Linked DNA regions of Mus musculus. The protein of the gene in region 2 interacts with the protein of the main gene of each other region in a biochemical or structural test. Links are inferred from orthologs where the notes say so. Each region holds a gene or a part of one and is shown on either strand. Other genes may lie near its edges. The genes, in order: Crebzf and Atf4.

What was found.
Region 1: the proteins of Atf4 (region 2) and Crebzf form a complex in vitro, tested with the Homo sapiens proteins (2 studies listed by IntAct, with this or other methods). The link is inferred for Mus musculus from reciprocal best matches to the Homo sapiens genes ATF4 and CREBZF.

The regions. Positions count from the first base shown.
Region 1 is NC_000073.6:90,441,195-90,445,673, reverse strand, and holds the start of Crebzf (CREB/ATF bZIP transcription factor), read right to left. Parts: upstream 2,894-4,479; 5' UTR 2,660-2,893; coding exon 1,583-2,659; 3' UTR 1-1,582.
Region 2 is NC_000081.6:80,253,709-80,258,093, reverse strand, and holds Atf4 (cyclic AMP-dependent transcription factor ATF-4), read right to left. Parts: upstream 2,911-4,385; 5' UTR 2,409-2,910; intron 1,888-2,408; 5' UTR 1,796-1,887; coding exon 1,573-1,795; intron 1,461-1,572; coding exon 634-1,460; 3' UTR 549-633; downstream 1-548. UniProt on the Homo sapiens protein: Transcription factor that binds the cAMP response element (CRE) (consensus: 5'-GTGACGT[AC][AG]-3') and displays two biological functions, as regulator of metabolic and redox processes under normal cellular conditions, and as master transcription factor during integrated stress response (ISR).

The DNA.
Region 1 (4,479 bases), on a different chromosome or scaffold from region 2:
CATTTACAGTTGTGCAAGAACAAGATTCCATTTCCATAACCAAGTAACAAAATAAAACATCTTACGTGTAGGATAACTTACATCTTTGGACTGCTGGAAAATACTTAATTATGAACATTTTAAAAATAAAAGACAGCAGAAGCCCTGATATTACCTCTGTTTCCTTATTTCTTATACTACCTTTTAAAATAAAGCAGGAAATGTGGCCAGCAGCTGGTCCCGTCTCTTCTGCCCCAACAGCTGTATCCACTTTAGCACAAAGAAAAACAAGGATGCTAAATACGTATATCCTTTATCAAACAGTGATGTTTCACAAAGAATTTAATGTCTCTTGCATTTCAGAGCATCAGAACACACACTTAAGACAAGTGGACAAAAAAACAGTATTTTAAGGAAAGACTTTTCCGTCTTTGGAAAAACAGTATCGATCATTTCATTAATTTAAACAAGTATTTTTAAATAGGACAAAAGTTTTAGAAATATGGAGAAAAGATTCTTTGTGAAGCCTCACTTTACATGTTTTCATTCACATTTCACAACCTTCAATATCTAATCATACAGAAATTTAGCCTAAATTTTAATACAACAAAAATAAATACTTTCAACAATTTCTTCATACTCATTGATTAGTAATTACTGTGCTGGTCCTCAAAGAAACATTTCATTTATCGTCTTCTAATTAAAACACAGAAATCTGATGGGTATGTTAATTTCCAACTTCTCAAGTGGTGAACTATTAGGGTCTTTAAATAGACTGTATTTCTGCATTTTCTACTGAAAACTATAAGGCATTCATTAAGTATTTTAGGAGACTTGTCATCTCCAGAAAAATACCACATTTGCGCATGCCTCAATACTTATTGTCAACCTCTGAAAAGTTGCTCTACAATTGGAATTCCAATTTGCACCTTGTACAACTCGGAACTTCCATTCAACTTCACCTGTTTGACTGTCTCCAAACTGTATCTCTATTAGCAGGTTTCTGTGTACAGTTGGAACCGATGTCATCCAAGGCCATGTCCACACTGGGGACAGAAGAGCTAGGTACACGCAACTCTGAACAAGGGGACACATTTAACAGCTATTTCAACCAGAAGCAACTTAAGTACATTAATGACCAGCACAAGTCTGTTTCCAGGGTGGACAAGGCCCAAATTAAGATTCCCCTCCCACCACCTTTCAAAAAGAAAAACAAACAGAAAAAGATATCACACACACACACACATTGAGATGTCTGCCCATTAAAGTAGCCTAAGCAGCCGAGCATGAGCGTTACGGGAAGAGATGGATCCTTACCAGGTTGTGAGGCGGGAACGACTGCTCTGTAACCCCTACAACGGAGCCTGGCAGGAAGGAAATCACCTAAAAAAGAAACTGTCAGAGAGATTTAATAGTCACAGGTTATCATTAGGAGTTGGTTACAGTGTCACATTCATGCTTTTAGCTAAACACTTAAAAGATTTAATATTACTTTTTTTTCCGCCTCTGAAATGCGTCCGGTGACGATGTCCCACTAAGGTGTTTGACATGGTGTAAGGGAGGAGAAAGGGGTAAACGCGGATAAAGAGCAGATTACTTGACCCTACATTTTAAGAGACGACGACGCCTTCCGAGCGCACGCCGAGCAGAACTCCACCGACACCTTATCCTTGTCCACATGGAGACACACTCCTCCCGCCGCGTCGTCCTCTTCCCGCGGCTCCGGCGGCTGCTTCCCCACCGGCAGGGCGTAGTCGTGGTCGCCGGCGGGCGAGTCTCTGAAGAGGGAGGTGGTCAGCCGCAGTCCCACGCCGCTCAGTCGGCTCAGCAGGCGAGCTAGTCCGGTCTCGTTGGCCAGGACGGCCCGTAGGTAGCGACTCTCCTCCTGCAGTGCTTGCACGCGCTTGCCCAGCTCCCGATTCTCGGCCCGCAGCTCCTGGTTCTCGGCTGCCAGTCCCCGGACCCGACTCTCCAGCCCCATCACGTACTCCTTCTTCTTGAGCCGATTAAGACGGGCAGCGGCCGCCGCCGCCTTCCGGGGACTCTTGGTCGCCGCCTGGTTGCCGTCGTTGGCGCCACCGCCTCCTGCTCCCGGGGACTTTCTCCGCCTCTTCTCCCCGCCGCCGCGGTCACCGCCGCTGCTGCAGCCTCCGATGCCGTTCAACAGCCTCTGCAGCAAGTCGGAGAAGCGCTGCATCTCGGCGGCCGCGGTGTCGTCGTCGTCGTCCCCCCTCAACAGGCCGCCGCTCTCCGAGCCTCCGCCGGACGAGGACAGGGGCCCGGGCGAGCTGAGCCCGGGCTCCAGGTGCCAGTCCGGTTGCCGAGGGTCCAGCAGATCGGCCAGCTCCAGCCCGGAGAGAAAGTCCATGTCCTCCGGCTCTTCCTTGGGGACCATGGCGATCGCGTCCTCCTCCTCCTCCTCCATCTTCAGGGGCGAGGGCGCGGGCGCGCGCACGGCCACGCTGCCGCGGCTCCCGCTCCGGGCCTCCGGCTCGCCCCCGTCCCCGTCCCCGTGAGGTTGCTCGCGGTCAGGCGATCCGGGCCTCGGGGTCTCCGCCCCCGCGGCTGCCCCGCTCGGCTCCCGGGGCGGCGCGCGCGTGGCGGGCGGCTCCCGGCTGTCGCGGCGGCTCGGGAAGTCGCGGCCCGAGGCTGCCAGCAGCTTGGTCAGGCTGTGCCTCATGGGGCTGAGCGGCGGGCCCGGGTAGGCCGCAGCCACTCCGACCCCGGGCCCCCAGCGCGCAGAGCCACGGCGCCGGGCCGACCGCAGGCGCGGGGCAAGGTCCGAGTGGCCTCCGGCGGCCGCCCAACCCCCCGCACGAGGCGGGGGGAAGGCAGTGGAAGCGCGAAGCGGCGAGGCCCGGGGGAGGACTCGGCCGCGCCACCCAGACAGCGGCCTGGCCGGAAGTTACTCTCTGCCCACCCCGCCCACAAAAACGCGCTTCGCTCCAGCCAGAGTATCGCGAGATTCCGAGTGCTTTCGAGGTGCAGTAACTTCGGCTTTGCGGTGATGTCATAGGAGCAGCAGGCAAAACACAATAAAACCTAGTTTCCACCCCCCCCCCACTCATCGGTACTACCCGGTACCACTCTCCTCGATCCAATATGACATCTAGACATATTTGACGTAGCTATATTAAAAAAAAACTGTTTTTGTGAACGCTTTTATTTTTGCTGTTTCTCTCTAAACTGCAAGCAAAAAACAGCACGCATAAGGAAATAGTCCCCGTTAAAACAAAAGACTTTAAATCAGAAGTGTTACCAAATTCTGGGGAACGCAGTCACGTACTGACACTAACTCCCCAGGCGACATTCAGAGGTCCTTAGTCTCAGAAAATGATCTTTCATAATACTATTACTGCTATTATTGTCATTATTACATCATTTTTATTTATCATTTGTTTTTGCAATAAGGGTCACTTGCAGAATTAGCTCCTTTGCCAAGAGTGGGTGGTTGGTTTGTTTACTGGTCTCTTGTTTTGCTGTTTGTTTTCTGCTTTTTTTTTCTTTTGTCAAGTCATGGTAGTTACTTAGGCTTTTTCCGTTTTTAAAATACCAGCTTTTTGAAAAGACCAAGTCTTGAACAAAACACTTCACTTTTTATTCAATGAGTTCATGCACATAGCACTGATGTAACGAATTCTTTTAAGCCTCACTACACATTGGGCCAATAGTGCGGGGGGGGGGGGGGGGGGGGGGGGGGGGGGGGGGGGGGGGGGGGGCTTCTGCAACCACCAGGACAAACAAAGTAATGTAATTCAGTTTAACACACTGAGTAGCCAGTGTTGATTCAAACTTCAAGAGTATGATCCCAGAGTTCTTAATTTTAGGCATTTTTTTTAAATCATTTTATTTTATTTTATTTTTTTAGATTTATTTATTATTTATTATATGTAAGTACACTGTAGCTGTCCTCAGACACTCCAGAAGAGGGAGTCAGATCTCATTACGGATGGTTGTGAGCCACCATGTGGTTGCTGGGATTTGAACTCCTGACCTTCGGAAGAGCAGTTGGGTGCTCTTACCCACTGAGCCATCTCACCAGCCCAATTTTAGGCATTTTTAAGCAAAGCACAGTTTGGTGGAAGAGTTTCCTGCTGATAATCGAGAGTATGCAGCAATATGACCTGACCACCATGAAACTCTGTGTAAAAGTATGCATGACATCTTCCATAAAGACAAATGTCTTAATTAGGGTTTCCATTGCTGTGAAGGGACAGCATGACCAAGGCAACTCTTGTTTTGTTTTGTTTTGTTTTGTTTTGTTTTGTTTTGTTTTGTTTTGTTTTTCAAGACAAGGTTTCTCTGTATAGCCCTGGCTGTCCTGAAACTCACTTTGTAGACCAGGCTGGCCTGTCTCTGCCTCCTGAGTGCTGGGATTAAAGGCATGCACCACCACCGCCCAGCTCCAAGGCAACTCTTATAAGGACAACATTTAACTGGGGCTGGCTTACACTTTCAGAGGTTCAGTCCATTATCATCACAGAAGCAGAGCAGAATCCA
Region 2 (4,385 bases):
ACTACATTCATCCCAACAGCTAACATTCAGGTGAGTCTACTGGCATTGGGAAGGCTGAAAGATCCCTCTTAACCCTGCAGGCTTTAACAGTTTCCAGATTTAAGAGGTAAAGATGCAGGTAGCCCAGGACCCTGGAGCTGGAAGCCTAGGTTCCCTTCCCAGCTTCCTGCCTACATTGCTCATTTTCACCTCTGTAGACAGTACCTGCCACTGTTTACTATCACCCCAGCCCTTCCACCAGGTGGAAACAGTCCAGCCATCTGTGTCAGAGGGAATATGAGCTCTATCCCTTAAGCCTGAGAAAAACCTAATCCTCTGTGTGCTCAAGGCGGGTACCTCATCTAGGTACTTACATGGCAGCTATCTGGCACAAAGCCAGTATGAACAGGTGGAATTCAGGCTGTTCCTTTCATTAACCCAGAGCTCCCTCATCTTCACCGTCTCAAACAGCTCAGCTCAGCCCTGGGATATACCCAGGTAGTTATTGTATCTAACCCAGGAACGTCTGCAGTTAAGTCTATTACAAAGAATGACACTGAAAACCCACATAGGTACTTTCACTACAAAATAATTTATTACAGCAAACACAGCAACACAAGACTATGTACAAGCACAAAGCACCTGACTACCCTATTACGGAACTCTCTTCTTCCCCCTTGCCTTACGGACCTCTTCTATCAGGTCTTTCAGATACTGGATCTCCTTGGCCAGAGAATCTGCCTTCTCTTTCAGAGCCTCATTCTTTTTTTCTAGCTCCTTACACTCGCCAGTGAGGGCCTCCTGCTCAGCCCGCTTCTTCTGGCGGTACCTAGTGGCTGCTGTCTTGTTTTGCTCCATCTTTTTCAGCTTCTTATCCAATTTCTCAGTCTTCACTTTAGCTGTCAAACTAACTCCAGGTGGGTCATAAGGTTTGGGCCGAGGAGACCCACGGGAACCACCTGGAGAAGGCAGATTGTCTGGTGGGGCCCTGGAGGTGGAGGGGCTATGCTGGGGAGAGCCCAGGTAGGACTCTGGGCTCATACAGATGCCACTGTCATTGTCAGAGGGAGTGTCTTCCTCCTTTACACATGGAGGGATTAGAGTAATGTAAGCAGCAGAGTCAGGCTTCCTGTCTCCTTCAGAGATATCAACTTCACTGCCTAGCTCTAAACTAAAGGAATGCTCTGGAGTGGAAGACAGAACCCCTGGGGAACAGGGGAAAGGCTGCAAGAATGTAAAGGGGGCAACCTGGTCGACTTTTATTAAACTTTCTGGGAGATGGCCAATTGGGTTCACTGTCTGAGGGGGCTCCTTATTAGTCTCTTGGACTAGAGGGGCAAAAAGATCACATGTGTCATCCAACGTGGTCAAGAGCTCATCTGGCATGGTTTCCAGGTCATCCATTCGAAACAGAGCATCGAAGTCAAACTCTTTCAGATCCATTTTCTCCAACATCCAATCTGTCCCGGAAAAGGCATCCTCTGGGAAAAGAAATTCAGGTGTGAACGGTTCATGTCATATTCGGGAGGCAGAAAGCCATTAGAACACCAGATCCATATGAAAAGGGCACACCAGGACAGCCGTCCTACTCACCCTTGCCGGTGTCTGAGGCACTGGCCAAGCCATCATCCATAGCCGGCCATTCCGAGGAGCCCGCCTTGTCGCTGGAGAACCCATGAGGTTTCAAGTGCTTGGCCACCTCCAGATAGTCATCTAAGAGACCTAGGCTTTCTTCAGCCCCCAAACCCGACTGGTCGAAGGGGGACATCAAGTCCCCCGCCAACACTTCGCTGTTCAGGAAGCTCATCTCGGTCATGTTGTGGGGCTTTGCTGGATTCGAGGAATGTGCTTAACTCGAAGGTATCTTTGTCCGTTACAGCAACACTGCTGCTGGATTTCGTGAAGAGCCTGGATGGGGACCCAAAAGCAAGTCCAGTCATCTTTCTATCTAAGATGCCGGATGGCCAAATCCCAGAAGCGTCTACAGGGAGAGCACGCGGGCCCAAGGCCATTGTGTAAGCCTCCCCGGCCGCCAGCTCGGGTTGCACAAGATGGAGGCTTAGCTTTGCTTCACCGGCCACCCAGAGGAAGCAGCTTGTCCTCGCGTCCTAATACGGCCAAGGCCGCCGCGCCCCGCCCCCGTGACTCACACCCCCGCCCCACCGCCATCTTGGGCATCGCCACGTTCGCAGGATGACACGGGGACCCCGGTGAGCCCGAGATGATTAAGCTAAGACAGGACGAAGGGGCAGCAGTAGCGCTTTAGACACTCCTCCGCCCAGCTCTGCCCGGGAGCGCCGGCGTCGCAGGCAACGCAAACAAGGCCGACGCGTCCGGCCGCTTGTAAAACCGCGTGTGCCGGCCACCGCGCCCGGGCCGCACCCAACCACAGCGAGGCCCCCGCCCTCCGCGGCCGGCCCCATACTCACGCCATGGCTTAGGCCGGTGGGGGTTGCCGCTGCAGAGCCTGGTGCTGCTGCCGCCGCTGCAAAGGCCAACGCTGCCGCAGGCACTGCTGCCTCTAATACGCCATGGTGGCCGCAAGCCCTGCGGGAGGGGAAGAGGAAAGGGACACCCGAGCACACAACTTAAACCGGCAGACAGCAAGCAGAAATGGCGGCGGCACGCCCTAAACCCGCCCTTTATAGCCTCGGCCAGGGACGCAGCACACCGCGTATCCTCCCACTGTGGTCACGTGATCCTACCGCAGCGCCACCAAACCGCCTCTCACTGACGCCCTCGCCCGCCCCAACCCTTCTCCGCTGTGCTCGGGGGGTAACTGTGGCGTTAGAGATCGTCCTAAAGGCCCCATGAGAGAAAAGTGCACTACTTTATAGGTTGACGACCAGCCGCGGTCTGGTTCCGGAGCGCGGAGGGATCGCTCGTTGACGAATTTCCGGTGTCTTACAAGGCGGGGTGGGACACCTAGCCAAAGCTCTGACGGTCAAAGCCGAAGCTGCCAGGTTATCACGCGAGACGCCGTCGGAGCGCGCGTCGAGCTGATTGGCCCAGGCGTGGCGAGTCACCTAAACCTCAAGTTCCTATTGGCTCTGCACCTGGGCGCTCTAGGATCAGGGGTCTGCGTGGAAAGGGAGGAGCCACCAGAGGTTCCGGGCGCCAGACTGTCACACCTGCCATCTCTTGTCAGATGTGATCCATGTGTATTTGCTCTCTCCGGCATCGCTCCGCACCGAGCAAACAGCTTCCAGGCGTGACCTTTGGGCTGGAAGCCATCTTTTCATGTATTTGTTGTTTCCAGAACCGAGTGGGCAGGCTTCAGGCATGTGGAGAGACCCTTCTGAGTTAGCTGGTCCAAACCTTCAGCTTCCTGTCAGTCCTGGGACAGGGACGGCACTTGGAGGCAGGGCGTTCGTGTTGGGGTCTTCTTGGGAGATATTCCGGTTCCTCCAGTTCAGCGATTTCCCCTGAACCGGGGAAACATGCCTAACCTCAGGTCTAACCTCCTATGCCCATCCTCCCATCATAGAGGCCCTCACTGCCGGTTTGTATAGGGTCAGTTCCCTTAAGATCAGGTTTATTCAGTTGGCTCTCAAGCCTTAACTTCCAGGTATCACCTTCCCAAGAAGTCATCCTGATGAGTGAGCCTGCCGCCTAAGTGATCGGGAGCCCCAGGTACTGGTCAAGGCCTCACCATAAAGGATGCTGTTTTGAGAGTGCTGAGAGGCTCTTTCCAACTCCAGCCTGGAAATCTTAAAAAGAGTTTCCACTTCTGTTTAAGTGACTCACACAAATACCACTCAACTGGCACAGTGCCTGCCACTTACTGCTCAGTGATTATTTGCAAGCCTTGTACAACCCAACCCTAGCGCTCGGGTACCATAGTTCAAGGTCGTCCTTGATTATATGATTGATTGCTATTTATTAATTCGAACCTAACTCTCCAGTCCCTATATCCCTAACTCCATCCTCCTTCCTCAGAGGAGCCTTTATTATTGTTTACTGAGACGGAACCAACCATAAAACACGAGGCCTACATAATGAGATGTTTTTATACCCAAAGAAGTCACAAGTGCATGTGCACACATACAGAAGTTACCTAGTCTTTCCATGCAAAAGCAACAAAAGGGTAACTATGTCCTCTCTTTGCTCTGGAAACCAAAACAGCAGCCACACTGCTACATTAAGTGGACATCCCTTACAAGTTTCTGTCCCCTAAGCATAATGTACCCTGCAAACCATGGTTTTTAACCTATGCTGAGTTCCTAACTCTATGATGTATGCCCACCCCTTGCTTTGCTAAACTCCTGAACCTGTGATACATGACTGCCTTTTGCTATACAAAAACGTGCCTCCCCAGAAACCTTCCACGTGGTGTAAGCTTGCACTTCTTTTTCTGGCCTCCTTTCTAACAGCCAATTATCCTAGCAGCTGTTTTCTATCACATG